3 linked regions of the Stegostoma tigrinum genome follow. The protein of the gene in region 2 purifies or fractionates together with the protein of the main gene of each other region. This does not show direct contact. Links are inferred from orthologs where the notes say so. Each region holds a gene or a part of one and is shown on either strand. Other genes may lie near its edges. The genes, in order: bcas2, prpf19 and ctnnbl1.

Evidence for each region.
Region 1: the proteins of prpf19 (region 2) and bcas2 purify together in Homo sapiens (co-immunoprecipitation; 10 studies listed by BioGRID and IntAct, counting the BioPlex papers as one, with this or other methods). This does not show direct contact. The link is inferred for Stegostoma tigrinum from reciprocal best matches to the Homo sapiens genes PRPF19 and BCAS2.
Region 3: the proteins of prpf19 (region 2) and ctnnbl1 purify together in Homo sapiens (affinity purification with mass spectrometry; 4 studies listed by BioGRID and IntAct, counting the BioPlex papers as one, with this or other methods). This does not show direct contact. The link is inferred for Stegostoma tigrinum from reciprocal best matches to the Homo sapiens genes PRPF19 and CTNNBL1.

What each region holds. Positions count from the first base shown.
Region 1 is NC_081374.1:41,695,114-41,705,254, forward strand, and holds the start of bcas2 (pre-mRNA-splicing factor SPF27), read right to left. Parts: upstream 4,078-10,141; 5' UTR 4,034-4,077; coding exon 3,941-4,033; intron 1-3,940. UniProt on the Homo sapiens protein: Required for pre-mRNA splicing as component of the activated spliceosome. Component of the PRP19-CDC5L complex that forms an integral part of the spliceosome and is required for activating pre-mRNA splicing.
Region 2 is NC_081399.1:7,395,159-7,405,738, forward strand, and holds the start of prpf19 (pre-mRNA-processing factor 19), read right to left. Parts: upstream 4,343-10,580; 5' UTR 4,290-4,342; coding exon 4,271-4,289; intron 1-4,270. UniProt on the Homo sapiens protein: Ubiquitin-protein ligase which is a core component of several complexes mainly involved pre-mRNA splicing and DNA repair. Required for pre-mRNA splicing as component of the spliceosome.
Region 3 is NC_081372.1:47,969,212-47,979,535, forward strand, and holds the start of ctnnbl1 (beta-catenin-like protein 1), read right to left. Parts: upstream 4,192-10,324; 5' UTR 4,119-4,191; coding exon 4,089-4,118; intron 1-4,088. UniProt on the Homo sapiens protein: Component of the PRP19-CDC5L complex that forms an integral part of the spliceosome and is required for activating pre-mRNA splicing.

The sequences.
Region 1 (10,141 bases), on a different chromosome or scaffold from region 2:
AATTAAAATTTTCCATTAATCCATCTACAGTCTCCAGCATTTTCCCAATTTCTCTGCTTGCGATGCCATCTATGTGCAATGCCATCTAATTGTTATTGAAACCAAGCCTTGATATTGTTTTCTGGAGACATGTAAATTATATAAGTGGAAAAGAAACTCCAGCACAAGTCTCAACAAGACACCAATTCCACATCACATGCACCTAGAAGACGCTTATCTTGTCCTCTGTTTCCCAATAAAGAAAGCAAAGAAAATTAAGATGTTTTGATCAGATTATACAAAGTCTGGATTTTGGGGAAAGGGCAGACTGTGACACTGAATGAATTTCAGTTTTTAACATTGCAAAAGACAATTCTGAGTTGAAGACAAATGTGATTCAATTTCTGGACAGCAAGGCTGCAGGGAGAAAGCAGCATGTATAAGGCACAGCACTGGAAGTTTAAGTATGACACTTGATATAAAAGGATCAATGATGATCGACAGAAGGTGGAAAAAGTAGAAATACAACACTAGCATTGGGATGTTGGCAAATAGAAATAAAGGAATCACTATTTACTAAGCTTTCTTTGTTGAATAAGAGTCACTATATAAATAAGAGCAGCATTCATGTCCTCGGCAATATGAGAGTTCTAGAAAGTTAGTGAACTGAAAAATAATTGATACAGGAAGAGGAGGAAAACAACAAGCTTTTAGGACACAGGTTTTAAAAGAGCTAAAGTCAAACTTAAAAATCGAGGCAATTTCAAGCCCAATCATATCTACTGAAAAAGGCAAAAAGCTAGAAATACAAAAGCTAAAATATACCACAATGGTACCTCTATTCGAGACAAAGAAATTAGATTTACATAACTGATGGACAAAATTTTTAGCAATGCAATGCAATAGACAACCATTATTAGAAGACATAAGGCTGGTAGTGAGAAAGAAACATAGCTCAAAAATCTGGAAGCAGAACCAGTATAGGTGGAAATTAGGATTAGTAAGTGCCAGAAGTCACCTGTGGCAGTACATTATTGGCTCCTTAACTGTAGAAACTTATTTTTTCAAATCAACCTGTTTGGATATGTTATTACACACCTCTACAGCAGGAGGGACTTAAACCTGGGCCTCATGGTCTAATGGTCTGGACACTGCCACTGCACTAGAACAGGGCACGCTGAAACTAGAGACCATTTTGTGTCATTGCTTATCCATGACTTGGTTACAAAAATGAGGCAAAGAATTAAATAAGGAACTATTAGAAACTGCAATAAAAGCAATATAAAAATTGGTGGGATATATACCGAACTAATATCAAGTTGTCAAAAGCAGTTGAGGAAGATGAATTTCTAGAATGTTTTCATGTTGGCTTCCTGAAACAAAACCTATGGTGTTATTCCACAACGTAAAAGTTACTTTATATCTAATATTCTGCAACAGAATGTCTGCCGGCACCCCCAAGATGTGCATGGGCAATAACACTGCCAGTACTGCTAATATCATTACGCACGTTTGCTTTTATTCATTGTGCTTATTTGGGCACCACGTGTTTTACCAAGAAAGCATTTCATTAAGTATGTGCAGAACTTTCCACACATGGAATGTGAACCTTTCAGGGGTATCATGAGAGTCTTCGTTCAGTGGGGTAAGGTTAATTAATAATCTCAAAGTAAAAGATCAGGTGGGAAACAGTAATCATAACACAACTGAATCACATACTTGGCTTGAAAGCAACATACTTAGATTGCAATTAAGAATTAAATTTAAAAAATAAAGCCAATTACAAAAGGAGTTTCAAAGCCATGAGATCATATTGCAGCTATACAAGAGTCTGGTGCGGCTGCACTTGGAGTATTGCGTACAGTTCTGGTCGCCCCATTGTACGAAGGATGTGGAAGCATTGGAAAGGGCGCAGAGGAGATTTACCAAGATGTTGCCTGGCATGAAGGGAAGGTCTAATGTAGAAAGGCTGAGGGACTCGAGGCTGTTTTCGTTAGAGAGAAGTTTAACAGGCAACTTTAATAGAGACATGCAAGATGATGAGAGGATCTGACAGGGCGGACAGTGACAGCCTTTTTCCTGGGATGGTGATAGCTGGCACGAGGGGACAAACGTTTAAATTGAAGGGTGATAGACATGGGACAGATGTCAGAGGTAGGTTCTCTGCTCAGAGTAGTAAGTGTGTGGAATGCCCTGCCTGTAACAGGAGTAGACTCGCAACTTTAAGGGCATTTAAATGGTCATTGGATAAACATATGGATGATAATGGAATAGTGTAAGTGGAATGGGCTTCAGATTGGTTTCACAGGGTGGCACAACATTGAGGGCTAAAGGGCCTGTACCGCACTGTAATGTTCTATGTTCTATTAGGAACAAGTTGGCAAAGATCGATTAGGTGAAAAGACTGATATGCACAGTAGTAAACAAATAGTTGGAATCAATTAAAGAAACAACTCAACACAGCCAACGAAAATAAAAAGCATCTTGCAAATAACAGTAATTCTGACAACTACCAGCACTTAAGAAATCAGGAAAAGGTGACCAAAAATTGAGAGAGAAAATGGAGGAGAGATGGGGAGCGAAGGGAGTAGGGGGATGGGGGCGGGGGGGGATGGGGGGAGGGGGGGGATGGGGGCGGGGGGGGGGGGATGGGGGCGGGAGAGATGGGGGCGGGGGGGGAGAGATGGGGGCGGGGGGGGGAGAGATGGGGGCGGGGGGGGGAGAGATGGGGGCGGGGGGGGGAGAGATGGGGGCGGGGGGGGGAGAGATGGGGGCGGGGGGGGGAGAGATGGGGGCGGGGGGGGAGAGATGGGGGCGGGGGGGGAGAGATGGGGGCGGGGGGGGGAGAGATGGGGGCGGGGGGGGGAGAGATGGGGGCGGGGGGGGGAGAGATGGGGGCGGGGGGGGGAGAGATGGGGGCGGGGGGGGGAGAGATGGGGGCGGGGGGGGAGAGATGGGGGCGGGGGGGGAGAGATGGGGGCGGGGGGGGAGAGATGGGGGCGGGGGGGGGAGAGATGGGGGCGGGGGGGGGAGAGATGGGGGCGGGGGGGGGAGAGATGGGGGCGGGGGGGGGAGAGATGGGGGCGGGGGGGGGAGAGATGGGGGCGGGGGGGGGAGAGATGGGGGCGGGGGGGGGAGAGATGGGGGCGGGGGGGGGAGAGATGGGGGCGGGGGGGGAGAGATGGGGGCGGGGGGGGAGAGATGGGGGCGGGGGGGGAGAGATGGGGGCGGGGGGGGAGAGATGGGGGCGGGGGGGGAGAGATGGGGGCGGGGGGGGGGAGAGATGGGGGCGGGGGGGGGGAGAGATGGGGGCGGGGGGGGGAGATGGGGGCGGGGGGGGGGGAGATGGGGGCGGGGGGGGGGAGATGGGGGCGGGGGGGGGGAGATGGGGGCGGGGGGGGGGAGATGGGGGCGGGGGGGGGGAGATGGGGGCGGGGGGGGGGAGATGGGGGCGGGGGGGGGGAGATGGGGGCGGGGGGGGGGAGATGGGGGCGGGGGGGGGGAGATGGGGGCGGGGGGGGGGAGATGGGGGCGGGGGGGGGGAGATGGGGGCAGGGGGGGGGAGATGGGGGCAGGGGGGGGGAGATGGGGGCAGGGGGGGGGAGATGGGGACAAGGTTGGGGTGGCAGAGGGGTGCAAGGTGGAGGCAGGGGTGTAGGTGGGGGCAAGGTGGGGGTGGGGAATGGGGGCAAGGTGGGGGTGGGGAATGGGGGCAAGGTGGGGGTGGGGAATGGGGGCAAGGTGGGGGTGGGGAATGGGGGCAAGGTGGGGGTGGGGGTGAAGGAAGAACAAGGGAGGGGGATGTGGGTAGGGAGACAATGGGGATGCCGTGTTCAATAGCAGCTGTTGGTGGAGGCTACAGCCCCGAGGCCCACGAAAGGACATTTCATTGCCGCTGTCGATCAGAATGATCACAGTCCCCCGGCTGACCAGACGTATTCGCCCCGACCCAGGCACTCACCGCCTCTCGGACCCCCGGCGCATCGTAACCCTGATCAAAATACGGCAACGCGTCCACCACCACATCGCCGGCCACCGCCAGCGGCCCCGCCATCTTGAGCGCCCTCAGCTCACCGCGCCTGCGCGCCTGGTAACCCCCATCCAGAAGCGCGTCCAGAATCCCACCGCTGAAGGTCTGCCTGCGCCTGCGCGCTGAATGCTGCCGTCCCTTCGGAGCATGCGCGCTTTGTATCAACTTGCAGCTATATCCCTCACTGGGTGAAGTGTTGGCAGGGTGCAATTGGGGTGTCCTCCTTAGATCACTCTTCGTTGGCCACCCTGACCAGCAGCTCCCTCAATATGAACCTGAAAACAATAATCACTGTACCAAAGTAATAAAATGTGAGGCTGGATGAACACAGCAGGCCCAGCAGCATCTCAGGAGCACAAAAGCTGACGTTTCGGGCCTAGACCCTTCATCAGAGGGTCTAGGCCCGAAACGTCAGCTTTTGTGCTCCTGAGATGCTGCTGGGCCTGCTGTGTTCATCCAGTCTCACATTTTATTATCTTGGATTCTCCAGCATCTGCAGTTCCCATTATCACCAATCACTGTACCAAAGTTTTCCGAAGAAGTGTCCCAGCCCGAAAAGTTAGCTTTCCTGTTCCTCTGATGCTGCTTGGCCTGCTGTGTTGATCAGCTCTACACCTTATTACTACAAAAGTTAATGCTGTTTATCTATAACATGCATTGCAGAAATTCACCAAGGCTCCTTGGACAGCACCTACCAAACCCGCCACCACTTCAGAATTAAATGCACACCTCAAGCACGGCACAACAAAATTTCCTATTTAACCATGTATTCCCACATAGAACATGGAACGTAGAACAATATCGCGTAAAACAGGCCCTTCGGCCCTCGATGTTGCGCCGACCTGTGAACTAATCTAAGCCCCTCCCACTACACAATCCCATCATTATCCATAATTTTACATCATTTGTGTATGTGATTGACCACGCATGAGCAGTGGCATTTGTCAGCAATAACTGAAGACCCTCTAGCCAGTTTATGCATGCATAGGTGGCCAAAGTGATAATTTTATCTGTTTTTGACCCAATTACTCTGTTTTTAAAGTTGCTGCTTGGCATAATGTCAATATCAAGTGTTGTAAAGCATAGGTTGACCCCCCCCCCTCCCCCCACCATGAGAACAAAAACCAAAACACCTAAAGAGGACCACCTCAGCCTATAATCTGTTAAGGGTGTAACCTGTCTTTCAGAAGTTTATAATGGTTAACTCAAGTATCCCTGACATTCATTTTACAATCAACAATTCATTTATCTAACTAATACTGAATAAATTAACTAAAGTATTAACAAACTGAACAAATCCCTTCTGACAGCTAACTATTCCTAAATAAAGCAAGATTTTAATGGTATGCTGTTCCAATAAATATAAGACCCATTTATATGACAAATCAATTGAATTTAGTCTCACAAAATTACAACCAGTTTATGCCTTCCAGAATGTTCTGTGTGTTCTCCATTGATTCTTCTGTCAGGAACCTTAGCTAGGAGTGCCATGGTACCGTTGTGAATAGATGGTGTTTCTCTAAGAGCTGAGAGCTGTTATCTCTAGCAGATAGCGGTTAGCTCTGCCAATTTTCCAACTGCTACCTTCTTGTATACACCTATGACTTATCAATTTCTTACAACTGGAATGGTCCTAGATTGTCAAGGCCGTCAGATTCAAATTTAATAGGTTTTTGATATCTAAGTACCAAGTTCAAATTGATTGGCTAAATTCAAAAATCTGCTTCCTTGGTAAAAATGCTGCTTGGCCTGCTGACGGTACAGCTTTGTGACGCAAATGTTTCAATTCAGGCGTTCTCTGTTCTTGCAAGGTTTCAAGCTGCTCACAGACATCTCTAAGCATAGAAAAAGCACAACCTATTAAAAGACCACCCAATGCTTTGTCCCCTAGCATTTTACAAACATTAAATTCTGCAAACACTAAATTCTAATGTGTTGCCTCCCAATTCATAGCTACTCTACCCAACCACACCACATGAGCCAAAACAAGGCTTGTAACCTTAATTTGAAATTAGAGCTGGGCCTTTCATGGAGTATAACAGTGGTGTTTCTCCAAAATGTAGTTGAAGCTGGGAGTCAATTGGAAGTGTCAAAATTGAAGCTGATCAAACTTTGCTCGGTAAGGTATCAATGGGTATGGAACAATGAAATTGAGATACTGACCTGGTTTGATAAGCAGAAATTGGAATAGGCCTGTGGTAATTGGAATGAGATTATTCAGCTGGATCTCAGAATATGAGCTCCCTGGTTGAGGCTGTTAATCTGGTCCAATAAGGGAGCCCTGGCAGACAGATAAAGAAGGGTGAGTGTCAGAGATACTGACAGTCTGGTGCCTGAATCTGTATGAGGCGGGACCATAGCCAAAGACTGTAAATAAAGGTCACTTGGTGATGGATAACAGCCTCAAGGCCTACTTAATGATCTGCTCCTAAATATATGCGTTTAATAGCAAGAAGCGCCATTGTGAAAGTTGCAAATATAAATGCTGCTCTTGAAGGTTATAGCTTCTGGTCATAACAAGGTCAGGCAGTTAGCTGGCCAATACTCAGGTGTTTCTGTTCGTGTGAGGGCAATTCTGTTCACAACCAAACTTACTTATTTACTGTGATGGACTGGGCTTCCTTAGGAATCACACTGAAGAATGGTAAATAATGAAATCAATATATTTTTCAGATTTTGAATTATGAGTACATTTAATATGTACAACACATTGCAATTGGCACAACTGATGCTAAACATTCTTATATGACAAGTAACAAAACAGAACATGCTCCCTCAAGTTCCCTGACTCATAATTGTTAAACTCCCAAAGTTACCTAAGATTTGGTTGGGAGAGGTAGAGTAACATAGCAATGGATTGAGTATTCTGCAGTCAAGTTGTGTCTTTTCTGGTCATAGTACTCCTGTTCTTTAGGTTATGTAACTTCCTTTGCTCCTTATTGTTGAGAAAGAAAGAGAGAGAGAGAAACCGCTCTGATTTATCAATCTTGCAGACCTCTGTGCCTCATGTTCCTTCCTTCCTTTCTGTATTGATTGTCATGACGGCAGCCAGATGGGCCTTATAAAATATGAGTTCCCTGATTGGGGCTGTTCATCTGGCCGAATGGCGAAGGTCCTGCCTGACAGACAAAAGCAGGAGTGCCAGACATCCTGTTCAATCTGAGAGTTGGCTCTGAGGCAGTTGGATCAGTGTCAAAGACTCTCCATGTGTAAATAAGCGGTGACTTGCTGATGGGATATCAGTCTATGTGAAGTTAATTCACTGGTAATGAGATTAAAGCACACTCCTGAAGAAATTCACTCCCAACAGTCATTTCTGAGTGAGAGTAAGCATTTGCAGCATCATGCTGCTATTGGCAAAGCTTGACTTATTCAATCCTGCTATTGAAGACTGGGCCCAGTATGTGGAAAGAATGCATTTTTTTTTTCTGGCCAAGTGACATTGTGGCAGGCGAAAAGCAATTAGTAATTCTCCTTACAGCTTGTGGACACACAGCTTTTTTGGTGATCCTGGCACACAAGCCATTGTATTTGCAGCCAGTGTGCGGACTTCCGCATCCATCGCATTATCCTTCGCCATTTCTGACACCAACAATCTGACCCCCCTCACCAAAGTGATACTTCCCTCCCCACCCCTATCTGCCTTTTTTAGGGACTGCTCACTCCACGACTGCTTCGTCCACTCCATACTCCCCACTAACATCACCACACATGGCACCGTTCCCAGCAACAGCAGGAGCTGCTACACCTGCCCTTACACGTTCCGTCTCACGTCTGTCCAAGGTCCCAAACAATCTTGTCAATTTTGACTGGGATTCACCTGTGCATCCTCCAACCTGGTCTACTGTATCCGTTGTTCCTGATATAGCCTCCTCTACATCAATGAGACCAACGCAGACTCGGTGACTGATTCAAGGAGCATCTGTGCTCTGTATGCTCTAAGCAACAGCACCTCCCAGTTTCCAACCATTTTAACTCCCTCTCCCACTCTCTGGGTGACATGTCCATCCTGGGCCTCCTTCAGTGTCACAAAGGTGCCACATGCAAGCTGAAGGAACAGCACCTCACATTCTGCCTCAGGAGGCTACAATCTGATGGCCTCTACATAGAAATCACCAGTTTCAAAATCTCCTCACCCCCGGCCTCACCCCATGTCCAACCCTCCATCTCATCCCTGCCTCCCTGACCAGACACAACTTGTCCATCTTCTTTCCATCTGTCCGCCCCACTCTTCCCACTGACCAATCTCCACAATTCCCTACCTGCATCCACCTCCCACCATCCCACCTACGTTCCACCGGCCCCACCTCCCTATTTATTTCCGAGCTCCTTTCCCCATTCCTGGTGAAGGGTGTAAACCCAAAACATCGACTTCCTTGTTCCACTGATGCTGTCTGACCTGCTGTACTCCTCAAGCTCCATGCTGTGTTGATGTGGTCCTGGTTCCTATATAAATTTAGGACTACTCCTCATGCAACTATCAGGATTGTTCCAGTAGAATGGGGAGAAGACTCTGCACCAGGTTAAATCTGATCTTGGGAAGGATGAGAAGGATGAAACGGCATCAGAAATCTCAATGTTGGGCACAAGACTCCTGTAAGCAAGAGAGACAGTTTACATCAGGGATCAAAGTTTGGTGTAGCAACCATGGGAATGGCCCTGCATGGGTAAGACACATGGTCAATGTGAGGTCAGATTCAGTGACATGTAAAGTTTGGGTAGGTATGTCAGTCCTGAACAAGCAAGTGGACCATATGAAAGCTGCAAACTCGCAAAATGTGCCTCGCTCCTCAGAATAGTCAGAACCTTTGGATCCCCCATCTCTGTCAAGCATTGAAGATGCCTGGGAATCTGAGATGGATGCGGCCGATGTCACCGCTTCAAAGTCTTTGCCGTCTGAAGAGGAGGATGAATTTCTTCTGAGATGCTCCATGCAAAAGATGTGAGCTACTGTCCCTTACACCCTGCCTGTATAAGGGACAGAATCAGAGGTACATGACCCGGTGCTGAAGTTCCCCAGGACTGGCCTATGTCCTTGAAATCAGAGGGGACGGGATGTAGTGATTGTATTGAGGTCAGCCAGGTGGACCCCATAGTCTAGCTGGTATTGCAGAACAATGAACTCCTGAACTCAAATATTAAATGATTTGTGAAATGCCTTCCAATGGGCTCTGGCACTTCTTTAATTGCATCAGACCAGTGGATATCATTGCCTCCCTAACCAATTCAGTACAGTGATGAGCTGATCGATGTCTCCATTGAGTTGAGTTAGATATAGCTTAGTATTTGAAAAGCTCCGTCCTTTCTGGTCTTGGGACCTACAGCATGCATTTCAAACAGGGCCCCTTTTCCCAAAATTGGGATATTCCCAGGTGCAAATCTTGGATTAGAATGAAAAACCTTCAATACTGGGTTAGGACTGGAGGCTTTTCCACTTGTTAGTTTCAGTAGATATTCTAGGTAAAGGCCTGGAACAAGAGATAAAAGTCACAGGTTATTATTCTTAAGCAACTGTACATCCTCAACAGCTGGTGCCGTGGAGACCATTCTAGGACAGTAATCTCTCTAATCCCACAGTAAACCGAAGAGCTGGTCACCACTAAAACAAGAGGGGAAATCAGATATCAGTTGAGGGAAACAATTCCTTTGCTCAGAGGGTGGTGAACCTGTGGAATTCTCAACCACAGAGTGCTGTAGAAGTCAAATCACTGAATATATTCAAGGAAGAGGTCAATAAATTTTGAGATTTTAAAGGCATCAAGGGGTATAGGGAGAAAGCAGGAATATGGCATTGAGACAAAGGATCAGCAATGATCCCACTGAATGGCGGAGTTGGCTCAAGGACTGAATGGCCTACCTACTCTTAATTTCTATTTTTCAATGACAGTGCAAATGATAATGTGTCATGAGATCATCTCCACCAAACACTAAATAACATTAGTGGCATTTAAATGATAGAAAAGGTGATTTGTGTATACACTTCTTTCTATGGATCACATACATTTCTTTCTGTGCATTATTTTGCCTTGCCCAGCATGCCTGTTGTGGCCAGGCAACCTTCTTTCTTCTTGGGTACAGTGTAGCTCAGAGATGGCGTCTGGCATTGTTTAAATGGCCAATGGCGGGGAAATG
Region 2 (10,580 bases):
ATCAGAGGAGCAGAGGGGTAACAGGAGCTGCAGATGCTGGAGAATGTGAGATAACACGGTGTGGGGCTGGATGAACACAGCAGGACAAGCAGCATCAGAGGAGCAGAGGGGCAACAGGAGCTGCAGATGCTGGAGAATGTGAGATAACAAGGTGTGGGGCTGGATGGACACAGCAGGACAAGCAGCATCAGAGGAGCAGAGGGGTAACAGGAACTGCAGATGCTGGAGAATGTGAGATAACAAGGTGTGGAGCTGGATGAACACAGCAGGCCCAGCAGCATCAGAGGAGCAGAGGGGTAACAGGAACTGCAGATGCTGGAGAATGTGAGACAACATGGTGTGGAGCTGGATGAACACAGCAGGCCAAGCAGCATCAGAGGAGCAGAGGGGCAACAGGAGCTGCAGATGCTGGAGAATGTGAGATAACAAGGTGTGGAGCTGGATGGACACAGCAGGACAAGCAGCATCAGAGGAGCAGAGGGGTAACAGGAACTGCAGATGCTGGAGAATGTGAGATAACAAGGTGTGGGGCTGGATGAACACAGCAGGACAAGCAGCATCAGAGGAGCAGCGGGGTAACAGGAGCTGCAGATGCTGGAGAATGTGAGATAACAAGGTGTGGGGCTGGATGAACACAGCAGGACAAGCAGCATCAGAGGAGCAGAGGGGTAACAGGAACTGCAGATGCTGGAGAATGTGAGATAACACGGTGTGGGGCTGGATGAACACAGCAGGACAAGCAGCATCAGAGGAGCAGAGGGGCAACAGGAGCTGCAGATGCTGGAGAATGTGAGATAACAAGGTGTGGAGCTGGATGGACACAGCAGGACAAGCAGCATCAGAGGAGCAGAGGGGCAACAGGAGCTGCAGATGCTGGAGAATGTGAGATAACAAGGTGTGGGGCTGGATGAACACAGCAGGCCAAGCAGCATCAGAGGAGCAGAGGGGTAACAGGAGCTGCAGATGCTGGAGAATGTGAGATAACAAGGTGTGGGGCTGGATGAACACAGCAGGCCAAGCAGCATCAGAGGGGCAGAGGGGTAACAGGAGCTGCAGATGCTGGAGAATGTGAGATAACATGGTGTGGGGCTGGATGAACACAGCAGGCCCAGCAGCATCAGAGGAGCAGAGGGGTAACAGGAGCTGCAGATGCTGGAGAATGTGAGATAACAAGGTGTGGGGCTGGATGAACACAGCAGGACAAGCAGCATCAGAGGAGCAGAGGGGTAACAGGAACTGCAGATGCTGGAGAATGTGAGATAACACGGTGTGGGGCTGGATGAACACAGCAGGACAAGCAGCATCAGAGGAGCAGAGGGGCAACAGGAGCTGCAGATGCTGGAGAATGTGAGATAACAAGGTGTGGGGCTGGATGGACACAGCAGGACAAGCAGCATCAGAGGAGCAGTGGGGTAACAGGAGCTGCAGATGCTGGAGAATGTGAGATAACAAGGTGTGGAGCTGGATGAACACATCAGGCCAAGCAGCATCAGAGGAGCAGAGGGGTAACAGGAACTGCAGATGCTGGAGAATGTGAGATAACAAGGTGTGGAGCTGGATGAACACATCAGGCCAAGCAGCATCAGAGGAGCAGAGGGGTAACAGGAGCTGCAGATGCTGGAGAATGTGAGATAACATGGTGTGGAGCTGGATGAACACAGCAGGACAAGCAGCATCAGAGGAGCAGAGGGGTAACAGGAGCTGCAGATGCTGGAGAATGTGAGATAACAAGGTGTGGGGCTGGATGAACACAGCAGGACAAGCAGCATCAGAGGAGCAGAGGGGTAACAGGAGCTGCAGATGCTGGAGAATGTGAGATAACATGGTGTGGAGCTGGATGAACACAGCAGGACAAGCAGCATCAGAGGAGCAGAGGGGTAACAGGAGCTGCAGATGCTGGAGAATGTGAGATAACAAGGTGTGGGGCAGGATGAACACAGCAGGACAAGCAGCATCAGAGGAGCAGAGGGGTAACAGGAGCTGCAGATGCTGGAGAATGTGAGATAACAAGGTGTGGAGCTGGATGAACACAGCAGGACAAGCAGCATCAGAGGGGCAGAGGGGTAACAGGAGCTGCAGATGCTGGAGAATGTGAGATAACATGGTGTGGGGCTGGATGAACACAGCAGGACAAGCAGCATCAGAGGGGCAGAGGGGTAACAGGAACTGCAGATGCTGGAGAATGTGAGATAACAAGGTGTGGGGCTGGATGAACACAGCAGGCCAAGCAGCATCAGAGCAGCAGAGGGGTAACAGGAGCTGCAGATGCTGGAGAATGTGAGATAACATGGTGTGGGGCTGGATGAACACAGCAGGACAAGCAGCATCAGAGGAGCAGAGGGGTAACAGGAGCTGCAGATGCTGGAGAATGTGAGATAACAAGGTGTGGGGCTGGATGAACACAGCAGGACAAGCAGCATCAGAGCAGCAGAGGGGTAACAGGAGCTGCAGATGCTGGAGAATGTGAGATAACATGGTGTGGGGCTGGATGAACACAGCAGGCCCAGCAGCATCAGAGCAGCAGAGGGGTAACAGGAGCTGCAGATGCTGGAGAATGTGAGATAACAAGGTGTGGGGCTGGATGAACACAGCAGGCCCAGCAGCATCAGAGGAGCAGAGGGGTAACAGGAGCTGCAGATGCTGGAGAATGTGAGATAACAAGGTGTGGGGCTGGATGAACACAGCAGGACAAGCAGCATCAGAGGAGCAGAGGGGTAACAGGAGCTGCAGATGCTGGAGAATGTGAGATAACATGGTGTGGGGCTGGATGAACACAGCAGGACAAGCAGCATCAGAGGGGCAGAGGGGTAACATGAACTGCAGATGCTGGAGAATGTGAGATAACATGGTGTGGGGCTGGATGAACACAACAGGACAAGCAGCATCAGAGGAGCAAGGGGGTAACAGGAGCTGCAGATGCTGGAGAATCTGAGAAAACAAGGTGTGAGGCTGGATGAACACAGCAGGACAAGCAGCGTCAGAGGGGCAGAGGGGTAACAGGAACTGCAGATGCTGGAGAATGTGAGATAACGCAGTGTGGGGCTGGATGAACACAGCAGGACAAGCAGCATCAGAGGGGCAGAGGGGTAACAGGAGCTGCAGATGCTGGAGAATGTGAGATAACAAGGTGTGGGGCTGGATGAACACAGCAGGACAAGCAGCATCAGAGGAGCAGAGGGGTAACAGGAGCTGCAGATGCTGGAGAATGTGAGATAACAAGGTGTGGGGCTGGATGAACACAGCAGGACAAGCAGCATCAGAGGAGCAGAGGGGTAACAGGAGCTGCAGATGCTGGAGAATGTGAGATAACAAGGTGTGGGGCTGGATGAACACAACAGGACAAGCAGCATCAGAGGAGCAAGGGGGTAACAGGAGCTGCAGATGCTGGAGAATCTGAGAAAACAAGGTGTGAGGCTGGATGAACACAGCAGGACAAGCAGCGTCAGAGGGGCAGAGGGGTAACAGGAACTGCAGATGCTGGAGAATGTGAGATAACGCAGTGTGGGGCTGGATGAACACAGCAGGACAAGCAGCATCAGAGGGGCAGAGGGGTAACAGGAGCTGCAGATGCTGGAGAATGTGAGATAACAAGGTGTGGGGCTGGATGAACACAGCAGGACAAGCAGCATCAGAGGAGCAGAGGGGTAACAGGAGCTGCAGATGCTGGAGAATGTGAGATAACAAGGTGTGGGGCTGGATGAACACAGCAGGACAAGCAGCATCACACCCAGGTTCAGATGTGTTCATCCAGCCCCACACCTTGTTAACTCCCAACACCAGGCCCAGGATCAGGCTCAGACCCAGGCTAAGGTTCAGTCCCAGGCCCAGGCCCCAGTTCAGACCCAGGCCCAGGCCCCAGTTCAGACCCAGACCCAGGCCCCAGTTCAGGCCCAGGCCCATGCCCCAATTCAGGCCCAGGCCCAGGTCCCAGTTCAGGCCCAGGCCCCAGTTCAGACCCAGGCCCAGGCCCCATTTAAGGCCCAGGCCCAGGCCCCAGTTCAGACCCAGGCCCCAGTTCAGGCCCAGGCCCATGCCCCAGTTCAGGCCCAGGCCCAGGTCCCAGTTCAGGCCCAGGCCCCAGTTCAAGTTCAGGCTCAGGCCCAGGCCCCAGTTCAGGCCCGGGCCCTGTGCTCCCACTGTCCATGAGGCGCAAGGCCCACTCCGCTCCTTGAGTTCCCGGTCTCCCCCCACACCCCGGCCTCTCTCTCTCTCTGCCCCGCTCCCGGGGGAGGGGGGTATCTTCCTGCCCCCGGCCCCCGCTCCCACTTACTCCAACACAGCAGCGACATGATGGCGGCGGCGGCGGCTCCCGGGGCAACTGGGAAATGGCGGGAGGAGAGGTCACGTCATTGGAGGGGCGTGGCCAGAGCGTGGCGTCATTACGCCGCGTGGGGTGGGCGGGGAAACAGGGACATCATCACGCGCGTGGGGTGGGCGGGGAAGAAGGGACGTCGTCACGCGCATGATGGGTCGGGAGGGAGGTAGGAGACGTCATCGGTGTTGAGTTGCAGGGGAGGAGACTGGAGAACGTCATCACGTTTGGGGAACGGGGAATGTGAGAGATAGTGGGAACTGCGGATGCTGGAGAATCCGAGATAACAAGGTGTGGGGCTGGATGAACACAGCAGGCCGAGCCGGCGTCATCACGCTTGGGTTTTGGGGTGGAGAATGCAGCGAACGTCATCTCGCCCGTGGCGGGAGGCCGGGGTGAAGAATGTAGTAACGTCATCACGCTGGGTGAAAAGGGGCGGAGACTGTAGGAGCCATCCCGCAAGGATTGGGCGGAGTGGGGGGGGGGTGCGGAAGTGACGTCATCAAAAGTGGGGGGAAAGGGGCGGGGACAATAGGAAACGTCTCAACGCTCGGTGACAAAAGTGCGGTGGACTGCAGAGAACGTCATCACCTAGCTGCGGCTGCGTGGGAATGGTTTGGGGCGGGGGGGGAGGGAGAGCGTGACCCCTAGCGGTGGGGTGGTGACCTAACAGGCAGTTCACAGGAGCAGGTCATTCGGCCCCTCAATACTGCTGTACCATTACATAAGATCATGGCCAACCTCTTCCTGTGGGTAAAGCCCAGCTTACCCGCACCCCTCACCATGACCCTAACTCCCTTTACTGGTCAAACATCTGCCTTTGCCTTATCGAAGCTTTCAACATGGTCCCCTCAACTGTGCAGGGGATCCCACGGGTTTCCTGACCCATTGGGAGAAGATGGTCCTCCTCAACTCTGCCCCCCGGCTCCTCGTCTCAGCTTCCAGTGGGAGCAGCCTCCTGCTCCCTCCTTACCCATTCCCTTCATCGTTTTACCCTCATTCTTCCCAACTCCGCTGAGTATAGACCCAGACAGCTCAACCTCTCCTCGTCTTCCGACCCTCCCGACCCCGGGGTCTCTCCCCGTCATCCGGCCCTCCCAACCCCACGGTCTCTCCTCGTCATCCGGCCCTCCCAACCCCACGGTCTCTCCTCGTCACCGACCCTCCCGACCCCGGGGTCTCTCCTCGTCACCGACCCTCCCGACCCCGGGGTCTCTCCTCGTCACCGACCCTCCCGACCCCGGGGTCTCTCCCCGTCATCCGGCCCTCCCAATCCCACGGTCTCTCCTCGTCACCGACCCTCCCGACCCCGGGGTCTGTCCTCATCATCCGACCCTCCCGACCCCGGGGTCTCTCCCCATCATCCGACCCTCCCGACCCCGGGGTCTCTCCTCGTCATCCGACCCTCCCGACCCCGGGGTCTCTCCTCGTCATCCGACCCTCCCGACCCCGGGGTCTCTCCCCATCATCCGGCCCTCCCAACCCCACGGTCTCTCCTCGTCATCCGACCCTCCTGACCCCGGGGTCTCTCCTCGTCATCCGACCCTCCCGACCCCGGGGTCTCTCCTCGTCACCGACCCTCCCGACCCCGGGGTCTCTCCTCGTCACCGACCCTCCCGACCCCGGGGTCTCTCCTCGTCACCGACCCTCCCGACCCCGGGGTCTCTCCTCGTCATCCGACCCTCCCGACCCCGGGGTCTCTCCTCGTCATCCGACCCTCCCGACCCCGGGGTCTCTCCTCGTCATCCGACCCTCCCAACTCCGGGATCAACCGGGTGAGCCCCCTCTGCAAACCCCTGCAGTGCCAGTACATCCTTTCTCAAGGGAGGAGACCAAAACTGGATGCAGTCCTCCAGGAGTGGCCTGATCAGCTGCAACATAAACCTCCCTGCTTTTAAACGCCATCCCTCTATCGCACTGATGGACAGCATCCCCATTTACCACCTTAAGTACCCACTGCACCTGCAAACCAGCTTCCTTGTTGTGACTCGCGCACAAGGACACCCAGATCCCTCTGCACAGCACACCCTGCAATCCTTCACTGCTTAAACGATGGAGCATTTCTCTGTTATTCCAAGCGAAACTTCCCGATTGCAACCTCGCCCACTGGCCCGACTTATCTGCGATGACCCCATGGCAGAATTTCAGGGTCCCCTGCACACTTTGCGCATCATCCAGCAAAGCTTTGACGAACATGACGTGAGGGTGCAAGGTACGCTGTCCACGCACCCCCCCACCCCCACAACCCCGTGTTGAGAGCGGGGAGAGATGCAACAGTGTGAGTTCGATTCGCCAGCTCACCAATGCCAGGCAGTGACTGTTGGGCACAGAGTCTGTTTACAAACCCATAGGGAACTACCACTATTCACAGAATGTATAACATTACAGCGCAGTACAGGCCCTTCGGCCCTCAATGTTGTGCCGACCTGTCATACCGATCTGAAGCCCATCTAACCTACACTATTCCATGTACGTCCATATGCTTGTCCAATGACGACTTAAATGTACCTAAAGTTGGCGAATCTACTACCGTTGCAGGCAAAGCGTTCCATTCCCTTACTACTGTCTGAGTAAAGAAACTACCTCTGACACCTGTCCTATATCTTTCACCCCTCAATTTAAAGCTATGCCCCCTCGTGCTCGCCGTCACCATCCTAGGAAAAAGGCTCTCCCTATCCACCCTGTCTAACCCTCTGATTATTTTATATGTTTCAATTAAGTCACCTCTCAACCTTCTTCTCTCTAATGAAAACAGCCTCAAGTCCCTCAGCCTTTCCTCGTAAGACCTTCCCTCCATACCAGGCAACATCCTAGTAAATCTCCTCTGCACCCTTTCCAAAGCTTCCACATCCTTCTTATAATGCGGTGACCAGAACTATACACAATACTCCAAGTGCGGCCGCACCAGAGTTTTGTACAGCTTCACCATAACCTGTTGGTTCCGGAACTCGATCCCTCTATTAATAAAAGCTAAAACACTGTATGCCTTCTTAACAGCCCTGTCAACCTGGGTGGCAACTTTCAAGGATCTGTGTACATGGACACCGAGATCAAGGGTATCTGAGCACCACCATGCTATAATACTGGCTGGAACACCAGTAATACTGGTCACGGTGCCGATCATACCATTCTGGAGTCCAGTTGTACTGGTCGTGGGGCCGATCATACCATTCTGGAGTCCAGTTGTACTGGTCGTGGGGGCCGATCATACCATTCTGGAGTCCAGTTGTACTGGTGGTGGGGCTGATCATGCCATTCTGGAGCCCAGTTGTACTGGTCGTGGGGCCGATCATACCATTCTGGAGTCCAGTTGTACTGGTCGTGGGGCCGATCATACCATTCTGGAGCCCAGTTGTACTGGTCGTGGGGCCGATCATACCATTCTGGAGTCCAGTTGTACTGGTCGTGGGGGCCGATCATACCATTCTGGAGTCCAAGTTGTACTGGTCGTGGGGCCGATCATACCATTCTGGAGTCCAGTTGTACTGGTCGTGGGGCCGATCATACCATTCTGGAGTCCAGTTGTACTGGTCGTGGGGGCCGATCATACCATTCTGGAGTCCAAGTTGTACTGGTCGTGGGGGGCCGATCATACCATTCTGGAGTCCAGTTGTACTGGTCGTGGGGCCGATCATACCATTCTGGAGTCCAGTTGTACTGGTCGTGGGGGGCCGATCATACCATTCTGGAGTCCAGTTGTACTGGTCGTGGGGCCGATCATACCATTCAGGAGTCCAGTTGCACTGGTCGTGGGGGGCCGATCATACCATTCTGGAGTCCAGTTGTACTGGTCGTGGGGGCCGATCATACCATTCTGGAGTCCAGTTGTACTGGTCGTGGGGCTGATCATACCATTCTGGAGTCCAGTTGCACTGGTCGTGGGGGCCGATCATACCATTCTGGAGTCCAGTTGTACTGGTCGTGGGGCTGATCGTACCATTCTGGAGTCCAGTTGTACTGGTCGTGGGGCTGATCATACTATTCTGGAGTCCAGTTGTACTGGTCGTGGGGGGCCGATCATACCATTCTGGAGTCCAGTTGCACTGGTCGTGGGAGCCGATCATGCCATTCTGGAGCCCAGTTGTACTGGTCGTGGGGGGCCGATCATACCATTCTGGAGTCCAGTTGTACTGGTCGTGGGGGGCCGATCATACCATTCTGGAGTCCAGTTGCACTGGTCGTGGGGGCCGATCATACCATTCTGGAGTCCAGTTGTACTGATCGTGGGGGGCCGATCATACCATTCTGGAGTCCAGTTGTACTGGTCGTGGGGGCCGATCATACCATTCTGGAGTCCAGTTGTACTGGTCGTGGGGCCGATCATACCATTCTGGAGTCCAGTTGTACTGGTCGTGGGGGCCGATCATACCATTCTGGAGTCCAGTTGTACTGGTCGTGGGGCTGATCGTACCATTCTGGAGTCCAGTTGTACTGGTCGTGGGGGGCCGATCATACCATTCTGGAGTCCAGTTGTACTGGTCGTGGGGGCCGATCATACCATTCTGGAGTCCAGTTGTACTGGTCGTGGGGCCGATCATACCATTCTGGAGTCCAGTTGTACTGGTCGTGGGGCCGATCATACCATTCTGGAGTCCAGTTGTACTGGTCGTGGGGGCCGATCATACCATTCTGGAATCCAAGTTGCACTGGTCGTGGGGGCCGATCATACAATTCTGGAGTCCAGTTGTACTGGTCGTGGGGCCGATCATACCATTCTGGAGTCCAGTTGTACTGGTCGTGGGGCCGATCATACCATTCTGGAGTCCAGTTGTACTGGTCGTGGGGGCCGATCATACCATTCTGGAGTCCAAGTTGTACTGGTCGTGGGGGGGCCGATCATACCATTCTGGAGTCCAGTTGTACTGGTCGTGGGGCTGATCATACCATTCTGGAGTCCAGTTGCACTGGTCGTAGGGCCGATCATACCATTCTGGAGTCCAGTTGTACTGGTCGTGGGGGCCGATCATACCATTCTGGAGTCCAGTTGTACTGGTCGTGGGGGCCGATCATACCATTCTGGAGTCCAGTTGTACTGGTCGTGGGGCTGATCATACCATTCTGGAGTCCAGTTGCACTGGTCGTGGGGGCCGATCATACCATTCTGGAGTCCAGTTGTACTGGTCGTGGGGCTGATCGTACCATTCTGGAGTCCAGTTGTACTGGTCGTGGGGCTGATCATACTATTCTGGAGTCCAGTTGTACTGGTCGTGGGGGGCCGATCATACCATTCTGGAGCCCAGTTGCACTGGTCGTGGGAGCCGATCATGCCATTCTGGAGCCCAGTTGTACTGGTCGTGGGGGGCCGATCATACCATTCTGGAGTCCAGTTGTACTGGTCGTGGGGGGCCGATCGTACCATTCTGGAGTCCAGTTGCACTGGTCGTGGGGGCCGATCATACCATTCTGGAGTCCAGTTGTACTGGTCGTGGGGGGCCGATCATACCATTCTGGAGTCCAGTTGTACTGATCGTGGGGGCCGATCATACCATTCTGGAGTCCAGTTGTACTGGTCGTGGGGCCGATCATACCATTCTGGAGTCCAGTTGCACTGGTCGTGGGGGCCGATCATACCATTCTGGAGTCCAGTTGTACTGGTCGTGGGGGCCGATCATACCATTCTGGAGTCCAGTTGTACTGGTCGTGGGGCCGATCATACCATTCTGGAGTCCAGTTGTACTGGTCGTGGGGGGCCGATCATACCATTCTGGAGTCCAGTTGTACTGGTCGTGGGGGCCGATCATACCATTCTGGAATCCAGGTGTACTGGTCGTGGGGGCCGATCATACCATTCTGGAGTCCAGTTGTACTGGTCGTGGGGGCCGATCATACCATTCTGGAGTCCAGTTGTACTGGTCGTGGGGCTGATCGTACCATTCTGGAGTCCAGTTGTACTGGTCGTGGGGCTGATCATACTATTCTGGAGTCCAGTTGTACTGGTCGTGGGGGGCCGATCATACCATTCTGGAGTCCAGTTGCACTGGTCGTGGGAGCCGATGATGCCATTCTGGAGCCCAGTTGTACTGGTCGTGGGGGGGGCCGATCATACCATTCTGGAGTCCAGTTGTACTGGTCGTGGGGGGCCGATCATACCATTCTGGAGTCCAGTTGCACTGGTCGTGGGGGCCGATCATACCATTCTGGAGTCCAGTTGTACTGGTCGTGGGGGGCCGATCATACCATTCTGGAGTCCAGTTGTACTGGTCGTGGGGGGCCGATCATACCATTCTGGAGTCCAGTTGTACTGGTCGTGGGGCCAGTAATACTGGTC
Region 3 (10,324 bases), on a different chromosome or scaffold from region 2:
CTCTATGAAGCTTACTGGTTGAAAACTGAATTCAAGGTGGAATGTGAACCCATGTCGCCAGAACATCAGCCCAAATTTCTGGATTACTAGTCCAGTGAGATTACCACTACATCACATCCACCTCTTCACTCTAATGAATTCAAAGTCTTGTAAGGACACTGCAAGCCAACACATTCCCACAGTACATACACTGTTTTTTTAAGCATCTCATTTTCTTATCTTAACTGACTGTTCCTGCCAATCAACACGCCTACCCCTGCTTTTTGTGATTTATAAACAGAACTTGCAAATACCTCTGCACTGTAGCTTTCTGCAGTTGTTATCGAAGTAAATAATATTCAGCTCCTCTATTCTTCCTGCCAAAATCCATAGCTTCACATCATATTCCAATCACAAAGTTTTGGTCCACTGACTTAACCTTTTATATTCGTTTGTTGACTTCTTGTGTCACCTTAACTACTTGCCTTCCTACCTTGTGTCATCTGCAAACTTGGCTATAGTGCATTCATTTCCCTCATCGAAATGATTATTGCATTTTGTCAATAACTGTAACTCAGGCACTGATCCCTGTGACACTGCGCTAGTCACAGGCGAGCATCATGAAAACATCCCCAGTATCCCAACGTCTGTCTTTTATTAGCTAGCCAATCCTTTGTCCTTACTAATATATTCCTCCAAACATGATGTGCTCTTATCTTAAGAAGTAGCCTAATGTAAGGTACATTATGAAATGCCTTGTCGAAATCCAAGTATATTACATCCACTGCTTTCCCTTTATTTATCCTGCAATAGGGTTAGGGTTCTCAAAGAACTATAGTAAATTTCTCAGGCATGGCTGCCCCTTCATGAAACCACGTTGACACTTTATAATAAACTAATATATTCCAAATAACAGATGTTAAGCTAACTTGCCAATAGACTATTTTTATGTCTTCCTTCCTTTTTGAATAAAGGCGTTACGTTCGCAACTTTTCTAATCACTCTTCCAGAATATAAGGATTTTTGGAAGATTACCAGTTGTGCATCCTCTATCTTTAATAGCTACTTTAATAAATATCCGAAGATGCTCTCCATCAGGTCTTGACAACTTTCTGGCTGTTAGCTTCCTTAGTACATTTTCTTTCGTGATGGTTATTGGATTTATTTCATTTCCCCCTTTTTCTCCTTGATCATTCAGTATTTTTGGAACATTATTAGTGTCTTCTACGGTGAAGATTGGTGCAAAGTATTTATTCAACTCCTCTACCATGTCCCAGTTCCACATTAGTATTACTTCCCCAGCCTCTTCCACTTAGGGAGCTGTGCTCACTTTGGCCTTTCTCTTCCTTTTAGTATATTAAAAATAAACTTGATGTCAAGTTTAATACTTCTTGCAAGTTAGCTTTCAGGTTTATTTAATCCCTCATTTTTATGTTGGTCACTTCTTGCAGTTTTCTAAACTTTCCCAAATCTCTGGCCTACCACTAATCTTTGCCATATTATATTTCTGCTTTCAATCTGATGCTATCCTTAAAACCCCTACGCTTGGCTAATTCCCTTCCTGGAACCCTCCTTTATCACTGCAATGTGTTTTTCAACTGATGAACTATATTCTTAAAAGTATACTCAGGTTTTCTCTGCTAAACTTCTTTTCTAGTCCACAACAACTGATTCTGCCCTTATTTCTTTGTAATTACCCTTAGATTTAACATAGCTGTTTCTGACCCAAGTTCTCCCTTTCAAATTAAATTCTAAATTCTACCATGTATGGTTACTGTTTTCTAGGAGATCCTTTACTCTGAGATAATTTAATAAACCTGTCATTATACATCAAATCTAAAACAGCCTGATCCCTAGTTAGACCCGCAACATATTGTTCAGGGAAACTGTCCAAATATGCTCTGAATTCTTCCTCCTGGTTACCTCTGCAAATCTAACATTGCAACCCACATGCAGATTAAATTCACCCAGAGTGGCATGGTGGATCAGTGGTTATCAGTGCTGCCTCACAGCACCAGGAACCCGGATTTGATTTCAGCCTCAGGTGACTGTGCAAACTCCACACATTTTCCACGTGTCTGCGTGGTTTTCCACTGGGTGCTCCAGTTTCCTCCCGCAGTCCAAAGATATGGATGGGTGCTAAATTGTCTATAGTCTTCAAGGACGTGTAGCCTAGGTAGTTTAGCTATGACGAATGCAGGGAAGCGGTCTATGGGACACTATGGAGAGTTAGTGCCGACTTAATGGGCCAAATGGCCTCATTGGGGATTCTATGATTGATATACTACCTTTTTTACATAGTCATTAGCTCCTGATTTATTCTCAGTCCTGTTATATTGCTACTGTTAAGAGGCCAAAATATTACTCCTGTCAATGTCTTCTCCTCCTTGATATTTCTTACCTCCATCCTCATTTGGATTCTACATTTTCTAATCCAAGATCATTTCTTGCTTTTGCATCTATTCCATCCTATACCAACAATGCTACCCCACCACCCTTTCCCTCCTGCCTCTCCTTTTGAAAAGACATTTATCCCATAATACACAGTTCCCTATACTAACTTCTTTGTAACCATATCTCCACAGTGGCTGCAAGGCCATACCCAATAAATTCTATTTGTGCCATTAACTCATTTATTTTGTTCAAAATACTATGTGCATTCAAGCGTGGAACCATCAGTTTTGCTAATCACTTTTGTCCCTTTGACCCTATTTGCTGATGTTTTTCTACGTTTGTACACTTATCCCTCCTGTTGCATGCTGGACATCATTAATGTCTGCCCTGTAATGTGGCTACATCATTTGTTTTACAAGCCTACAGTTCACAATACCAGGCCTCAAATAATGTTTCCTGTTTGGTTACAGAAAGAACCCCAAGAAACTGTTCAAAATACAATGTTCATCCCCAGGCAATTTTTGTCTATTGCTTTCAACTAATATGAAGAGTGAAGTCTCCCCAATTTTGAGTGACTGTTATAAACTCTATTACTTCTTGATTTACAATGCACCCTTCAGTTTAACCCTTATGTACTCCCAATGACTTCTTTCTTTCACCATTTCTTATCTCCATCCAAACTGATTTTACATCTTGATCCTCTGAATCAAGATCAATTCTCACAACTGCACTGATTTCATTATTTATTAAAAGAGTTATCCAATTCCTCACCCTCCTTCCTGACTTTCCAAAGTGTTGAACATCCTCAAATATTTAGGTTCCAGCCAGTCATTTTGCAACCACATTTCTACAATGGCAATCAAATTATACTCAGTCATTTGTATTTGTATTATTAATTTGTCCATTCAGTGCACATTTAGAGAAATAATTTTCAATCTGCCTTTTCACCATTTATATCCACAACTATATTTGCATGTGAATTCACATTAGCCAAAAAAAATCATCTTGCCAGTATACTCCTATATTTGTGTTCTATTCCACTTGACACACTCTAGTCATCATTATCAAAGCTGCAATCCTGCATCACTGTTTCACCCTTTTTTTAACCTTCTAAGTTTACCCTCACGTGAACCTTTCTCGCACTTCACTGTCACACACTAAGATTATATTTCAGTACTACAGCAATTCTGTTTTCCATCTTATGACGGGCAAGATGTTATGTGCCATATGTGTTTTGTATTTAATATTTCTACATTATAGTACTGAAAATTAACATCATGGAATAACTTCTCATCACTATGCCAGGCACAGTGGCCTGTTGTTTGACAAATATGTCACCTCTCTGTATCAGGAATTTTAAAGCGATTCAATTAGAAGGTGAAACTCCTAAGCTGGGGCTGATGACTGTAATATTGTGGCTATGGAAAGATGGTTTATTGATATTTTTGAATCAACCTGATCAGAGACGTCATTACACACCTGTGGAGCTGATAGAACCTAAAATTGATCAACGATGGAGCCCCACGTGAACTCGAAATCGTGTGGCAGGAAAAAGAGGGCTCCCTGTCAGTTACTGGCGATGCAGCCACAACTCGAGTGCCAGGCTCTGCGGCCTCGCTTGTCTCGGAACCGGCCGGAGTGGGGATATGGAGCGGCTTAGACTGACTGAGCGTAGACAGGGGGCCCGAAAGAAGGAGGAGAAGCTGCTGCCTCACCTGATAGTTCAGCAATTCGCCCACATCCATATCAGCACTGTCGCAAGAAGCTAAAATGTCCCCCCACCGCTCAGGTCCCTGCCACACTGCCGTATGTCCCAAACGGTCGTAAATGACCGCCAATTGTCGTAAAGGCTCCAAGTTCAGCCAGGAATGATCTTAGAAAGTCTCAGGTTAAAACCATCGTACGGTTTTTAACACTTTCTTTGCTAATGAAACTTCACTGATGTGTCTTTCCGAAGGGAAATTTAGCATTGATTTTAGTGAGCTCTTCAAACAAATAAAAATCTGAAATAGATTTAAAAGCAGAACTTTTCTTGTACTGAGATAGTAGGAACTGCAGATGCTGGAGAATCTGAGATAACAAGGTGTAGAGCTGGATGAACACAGCAAGCCAAGCAGCATCAGAGGAGCAGGAAAGCTGACGTTTCAGGTGGGAACCCTTCTTCAGAAAGGTTTAGACCCGAAACATCAGCTTTCCTGCTCCTCTGATGCTGCTTGGCCTGCTGTGTTCATCCAGCTCTATACCTTGTTATCTCAGATTCTCCAGCAGCGGCAGTTCCTACTATCTCTATAACATATATGTGTTTAGTTTTCCCAAGCAGAGAAAACTAGTTCATAAACAGTGAACACTTATTAAAAATTGAAAGAAATATAAGAACTGTTTCAACTGAAGGTTGTGTTTTGGGTCCTTAATCTTGAGGAACTATAGAGCCTGCTTTGCCATGTGGCATGATGGACCAGTAGACCTAGGAGACAACGGTTCTGTCAGAATCCTGAATGGGGAAAGGTGAGGAATAAGGTTTGCTGTAACAGTATGGGTGGCATAAATGATTAAGAATGATCATTGAAAGTGAACACTAGTGGGTTGGAGGTGAAGACAAGGTGGACTATATTGTAGTTCATTATAAGAGATAGTAAGAACTGCAGATGCCGGAGTCAGCGATAACACAGTGTGGAGCTGGAGGAACACAGCAGGCCAGGCATCATCTGAGGAGCAGGAAAGTTGATTGGGACCCTTCCTCATTTCGCCTTTTACCAAAGTTGTAACCTATGTTATTAACAGTCTTCATCTGTCAAGACTCTGTTTATTGATCAGTTTAAGGTTTGCATCTGTTAGTGTGTGTATTTCTTAGCTGGTTCCTGGGTACTTAAATGTTACAATTAAGTTTTAAAATATCTAAATTTTCTAATTGTCTTTCTATAATTGGAAAGCAACAGAGTGATGCAGACAAACCTCACTGAACAAAAGCAGTCAGCCAGGAATGAGGGACAGCATTGAGTGGAAAGTGGAGGACAGCATAAGAGAGAAATCTGGGATGGGAACACCATGAGTGGAAATACATGGGATGTATGGAAAGGGGTTTAGGGATGGCATAGGAAGTAGGACTGGGATCAGGTATGTAATGGGGATGATATTAGAAGAATAATAGGAATAATCAGAAAGAACTCCAAAGGTGTCAGATGATGCATTTTGGGAGATCAAATGCAAGATAAAATTATACAGTTAATGCCAGGGCCTTTAGGAACACTGATATATGGAGGGATCTTGGGTTGCAAGTCTATAGCTGCCGAAAGTGGCAACACAAATGTAAGGATTGGAGATTCCTTCCCTAAAGGGTGTTAGTGAACCAGATAGGTTTTTCCCAACAATTGATAATGGATTCATAGTGATCATTAGACTTAATTCCAGATTTTTATTGAATTCAAATTCCATCATCTGCCGTGGCAGGATTCAAACCGAGGTCCCCAGAACATTAGCTGGATCTCTGGATTAACAATGCAGCAATAATACTACTAGGCCATCACATGCCCTAATTGATCTCTATAGTTTTATTTTCATTCATTTACAGGATGAGGGCATCACTGGGTTTTTTCCCCCAAGAATTGACAATGGATTCATGTTCATCTCAGGATTCTTAGTTTAGATTTTGTTTTAATTGAATTCAAATTGCACCATTTGCTGTGGCAGGATTTGAACACAGGTCCTCAGAACAGTATCTCAGTATTGCTGGATTGTTAATCCAGAGACAGTACCACGAGGCCATTTCCTCCCCAATAGTTGTCAATTCAATTTTTTTCTTTCATGAATATCAAATCTTGCCTTATTTGCATAATATTAGTCACTTCAGCCTGTGGCAGTGACTTCCACATTTTCACCTCTCTTGGTCATGTGTACTAAATTTCTGATCGTTTTGAACTGAAACCATGCTAATCTAATGATGCTTGATCTGTTTTCTCCATCCGTTGTAAATGTGGCAGTATAAATATTTTAGTCATTAACGTCACAGGTATATCCTGCTGGGCACATATGTGAATTACATGCTTACTTGGAAACTGCATCCTCTTATGACTTTCTGACCTCTTAATATAAAACAATTGTCTTCATAGAGCAGAACCAAAATCTGGCTCCATATAAAAATTCCTATTCCTCAATGGTAGTAGACATTTTTTACATTTGATGATATCATTCGTAATTCCCTGTCACATGGCAGAGATAGGCTTCCTTTCATGAGATAGAATTGTGGTTCAGGGCATCAGCATTGTCGTCACCTTGATCAGATCTGTACTTTATCTATTGATGAAAGGGGAAATGCAATTGTGCTTGATGGGTTTTCTGTTCCTGCTGCCCATAGGGGCAATATCACTGAAATTGACCAATTACTGTTGCAATTTCAGCACCATTTTGATACATCTCTTGGATATGATCAGCTTTGGGAGGAAGGACAGCAAAAATGTGGATCTGTTTCACTTGTTTCTTCAACATGACACTTGCATATTCAATAACACCAACTCATCTGTACGCTAGTAGCTTCCCTCCTGTTCTAAGTAATCCTGTCTTTTCCCATTATCTTGATAATGTGATTACGTGCCCCAAAGAAGGACAGCTAGGGCTTGTTACAGATAAGCGTTCTCAGCTCCATCTGGACATTTCACCCCTGATTGCATCAGTTAAGCGAATTTTCAACTGAGTGTCCCTGTTGGTTTGAAGGAAGGAGGACAATTCTGTCAAGCAAACTTACAGGTTCCAGGGATACCGAGACCATAACCTCTCCTTCAGACTGCCTTTATCTGTAAAATATAAGTTGTGGATGCAATTGTGAACTCTTTTTGACATTAATACTGAATCATAGAATTGTTATGGTACAGAAGGAGGCCCTTTGGTCCATCATGTCTACACTAACTTTTCAAATGAGCATCATTACCTCAAGCCAATCTTCTGCCTTTTACTCATATCACTGCACACCATTTCTATACAAACAATCATCCAACACTCTCTTGAATGTCTCAACTAAATTTGCCTTCACCACACTTCCAGGTACTGCCTTCCATATCCTAATTACTTGCTGAGTGAAACAGTATTTTTCTCACATCACCCTTGCTTTTTTTTGTACATCGCTTTAAAACTATTCCCTCTTGTTCTTGAGATAGTAGGAACTGCAGGTGCTGTAGAATCTGAGATAACAAGGTGCAGATCTGGATATACACAGCAGGCCAAGCAGCATCAGAGGATCAGGAAAGCTGATGTTTTGGGCCTCGACCCTTCTTCAGAAGCGACAGCTTTCCTGCCCCTCTGATGCTGCTTGGCTTGCTGTGTTCATCCAGCTCTACATCTTGTTGTCCCTCTTGTTTGTGTTCCTTTTATGAACAGAAATGGCTTCTCTCTATCTACTCTCTCTAATTTGGTCATATTTTTTGAAAACCTTGATTAAATTTCCTCTCAGCCTTCTTCTCTCCAAAGAGCATAGTCTCAACTTCTTCAGCCTATCTTCATAACTGAAAATTCCTCATTCCTGGAGTCATTCTTGTGAATTGTTTCTGAATATTTTCCAATGTATTCTCATGTTTCCTGCAATGTAATGCCCACACTGTTAAACGAGTGTCTTGTACAAGTTCAACATCAACTCCTTTTACTGTGTGCTATTTTTAATAAAGGCTAGGGCACTGTATGCTTTATTACTGCTCTCTCCACTTGTCCTTCAATGATTCTTATACATATACACAGAGGTCCCTCTGCTCCTGCACCCTCTTTAGAATCGTACCCCCAATTTTACATTATCTTTCAATGATATTCCTACCAAAATATACTTCTCTGTATTGAACCTCATCTACCACCAATTAACCCACTCCATCAAACTGGTTAATGTCCTTTTGGAGCTCCAGACTATCCTCCTCACGGTTTACAATTTTTCTGAGTTTTGTGTCACCTGCAAACTTTGAAATTGTCCCCTGCACACCAAGATCCAGATCATTAATATGTTAGGGTGACATGGTGGCACAGTGGTTAGCAGTGCTTCCTCACAGTGCCAGGGACCTAAGTTCAATTCCAGCCTTGGATGACAGCCTGTGTAGGTTTCTGCCAGTGCTCTGGTTTCCTACCACAGTATGTAAAATTGGCCTGTAGCATGCAGGCTAGATGCATTAGCCATGAGGTGTCATCAGTTGCAGTGGCGGTGATGGGTCTGGGCAGGATGCTGTTTGGAGGGTAGATGCAGACTTAATGGGCCAATAGTCCTCTAGCTGCATTGTAGGGATTCTATAATGTCAGGAAAAATGAGGGCCCCAATACTGACCTCTGAGGAGCTTCACCATAAATATTCTTCCTGCCCAAAATATACCCATTTACCATTCTCCATTTCTTAATGCTCTGCCAATTTTGTATGCACATTGTTACTGTTCCTTTTATACCATGACTTTTCCTCAGAAGTTTGTCATGCGATACTGGATAAAATAACTTCTGCAAATCCATGTATATTACATCAACAACATGACCCTCATTAACCCTTAGTTAGTTGAACACAATTTCCCCTCTACAAATTAGTGTTGATGCTTCCTAATCAACACCCCTTTTTTCACGTGATAACAAATTCCATCCCAAATCATTGTTTCTGGCAACGTCTTCACCACCGATGTTAAACTGGCTGACCTATAATTGCTGGGATTATCCTTACAACTTTTCTTAAACAATGATGTAAAATTCACAATTATCCATTCTTCTGCTACCTCATCCAAGTTGAGAGAAGACTGAAGATGATTGCCAGTTTCCCCCTGATATCTACCAATACTTCCTTCAAAATCCTTGGATGCACCTTATCCAGTTTTCTAAAGAAGGGTCCTGAACCGAAACATCAGCTTTCCTGCTCCTCTGATGCTGCCTGGCCTGCTATGCTCTTCTACCTCCACACTGTGTTATCTCTTACTCCAGCATTGGCAATTCTTACTATCTCTCATCCAGTCCTGTGCCTTGTCAACTTTAAGTACTGGCTGATTATCCAAGACTTCTTTATTCATTAGAACCCTTCTAGTGACAAAGTTTCCTCTTCTGTTACCATGGCTTAGGCAGCATCATCTTCTTTTGGAAAAGGAGGTAGAAAATTATTAATTTAGCACCTCTGCTATGCCCCCTTTTTGGTCTCTAATTAGCCCTATTATTCCTGTAACAACTCTCTCACTATTTAAACGCCTATAGAGAATTTTGGGATTCCCTTTTGTGAAATGTGCTTGTTAGTCTAATATCTTGCCATGGTATTTCACTATGACATTTTCCAAGTAGATGTTAAATCAAGGTTGCGAACCTACTCTTTTACTGAGGCGCCTGGAGAATGCAATGAATATTTATGCATTGCCGATCTAACATTCAGCTGAAGAATCTCTTGACATTTCCAGTCTTCCTCCAAATCTAACCAACTTCCTTCCCGTCAGTAAATAGAATGTTTTCTCTTTGTTTTTTTTTCTGCTGAGCTCAGAGAGGACACATAAGAAAGGAAAGGGAGCCCTTTTCTTTTTTTCAAATTTAACATCAACTTTATCCTTCGAAGCCCGTAAGTCCACCAGAGTAAGGTTGCGTGAGCCTCCTTCATTGACCTGACCAATTTCAGTCACTATACCATACAGCTCATCTTTGCCCAAGTACTTTTCCATCTCTGCAGACATGATTAATGCTACTGAAAGTTACGAGACATTTAGATATGACGTTGTCAGGCCTGTAAGGTGATGCGGCTGCTCTGGATTGTGTCGGCCACATGGAAACCTGTTTGATGCATGCACTGTGAAATCCTGCTGACTGCAGCAAAATATTGGAAACCAAATCCACACAACGTATAAAGTTCTGGGGAAGGGTCACCGGACCGGAAATGTTAACTCTGATTTCTCTTCACAGATGCTCCCAGACCTGCTTAGCTTTTCCAGCAATTTCTGTTTTTGTTTCTGAACATATGAAGGTCTGGTTCTATGAT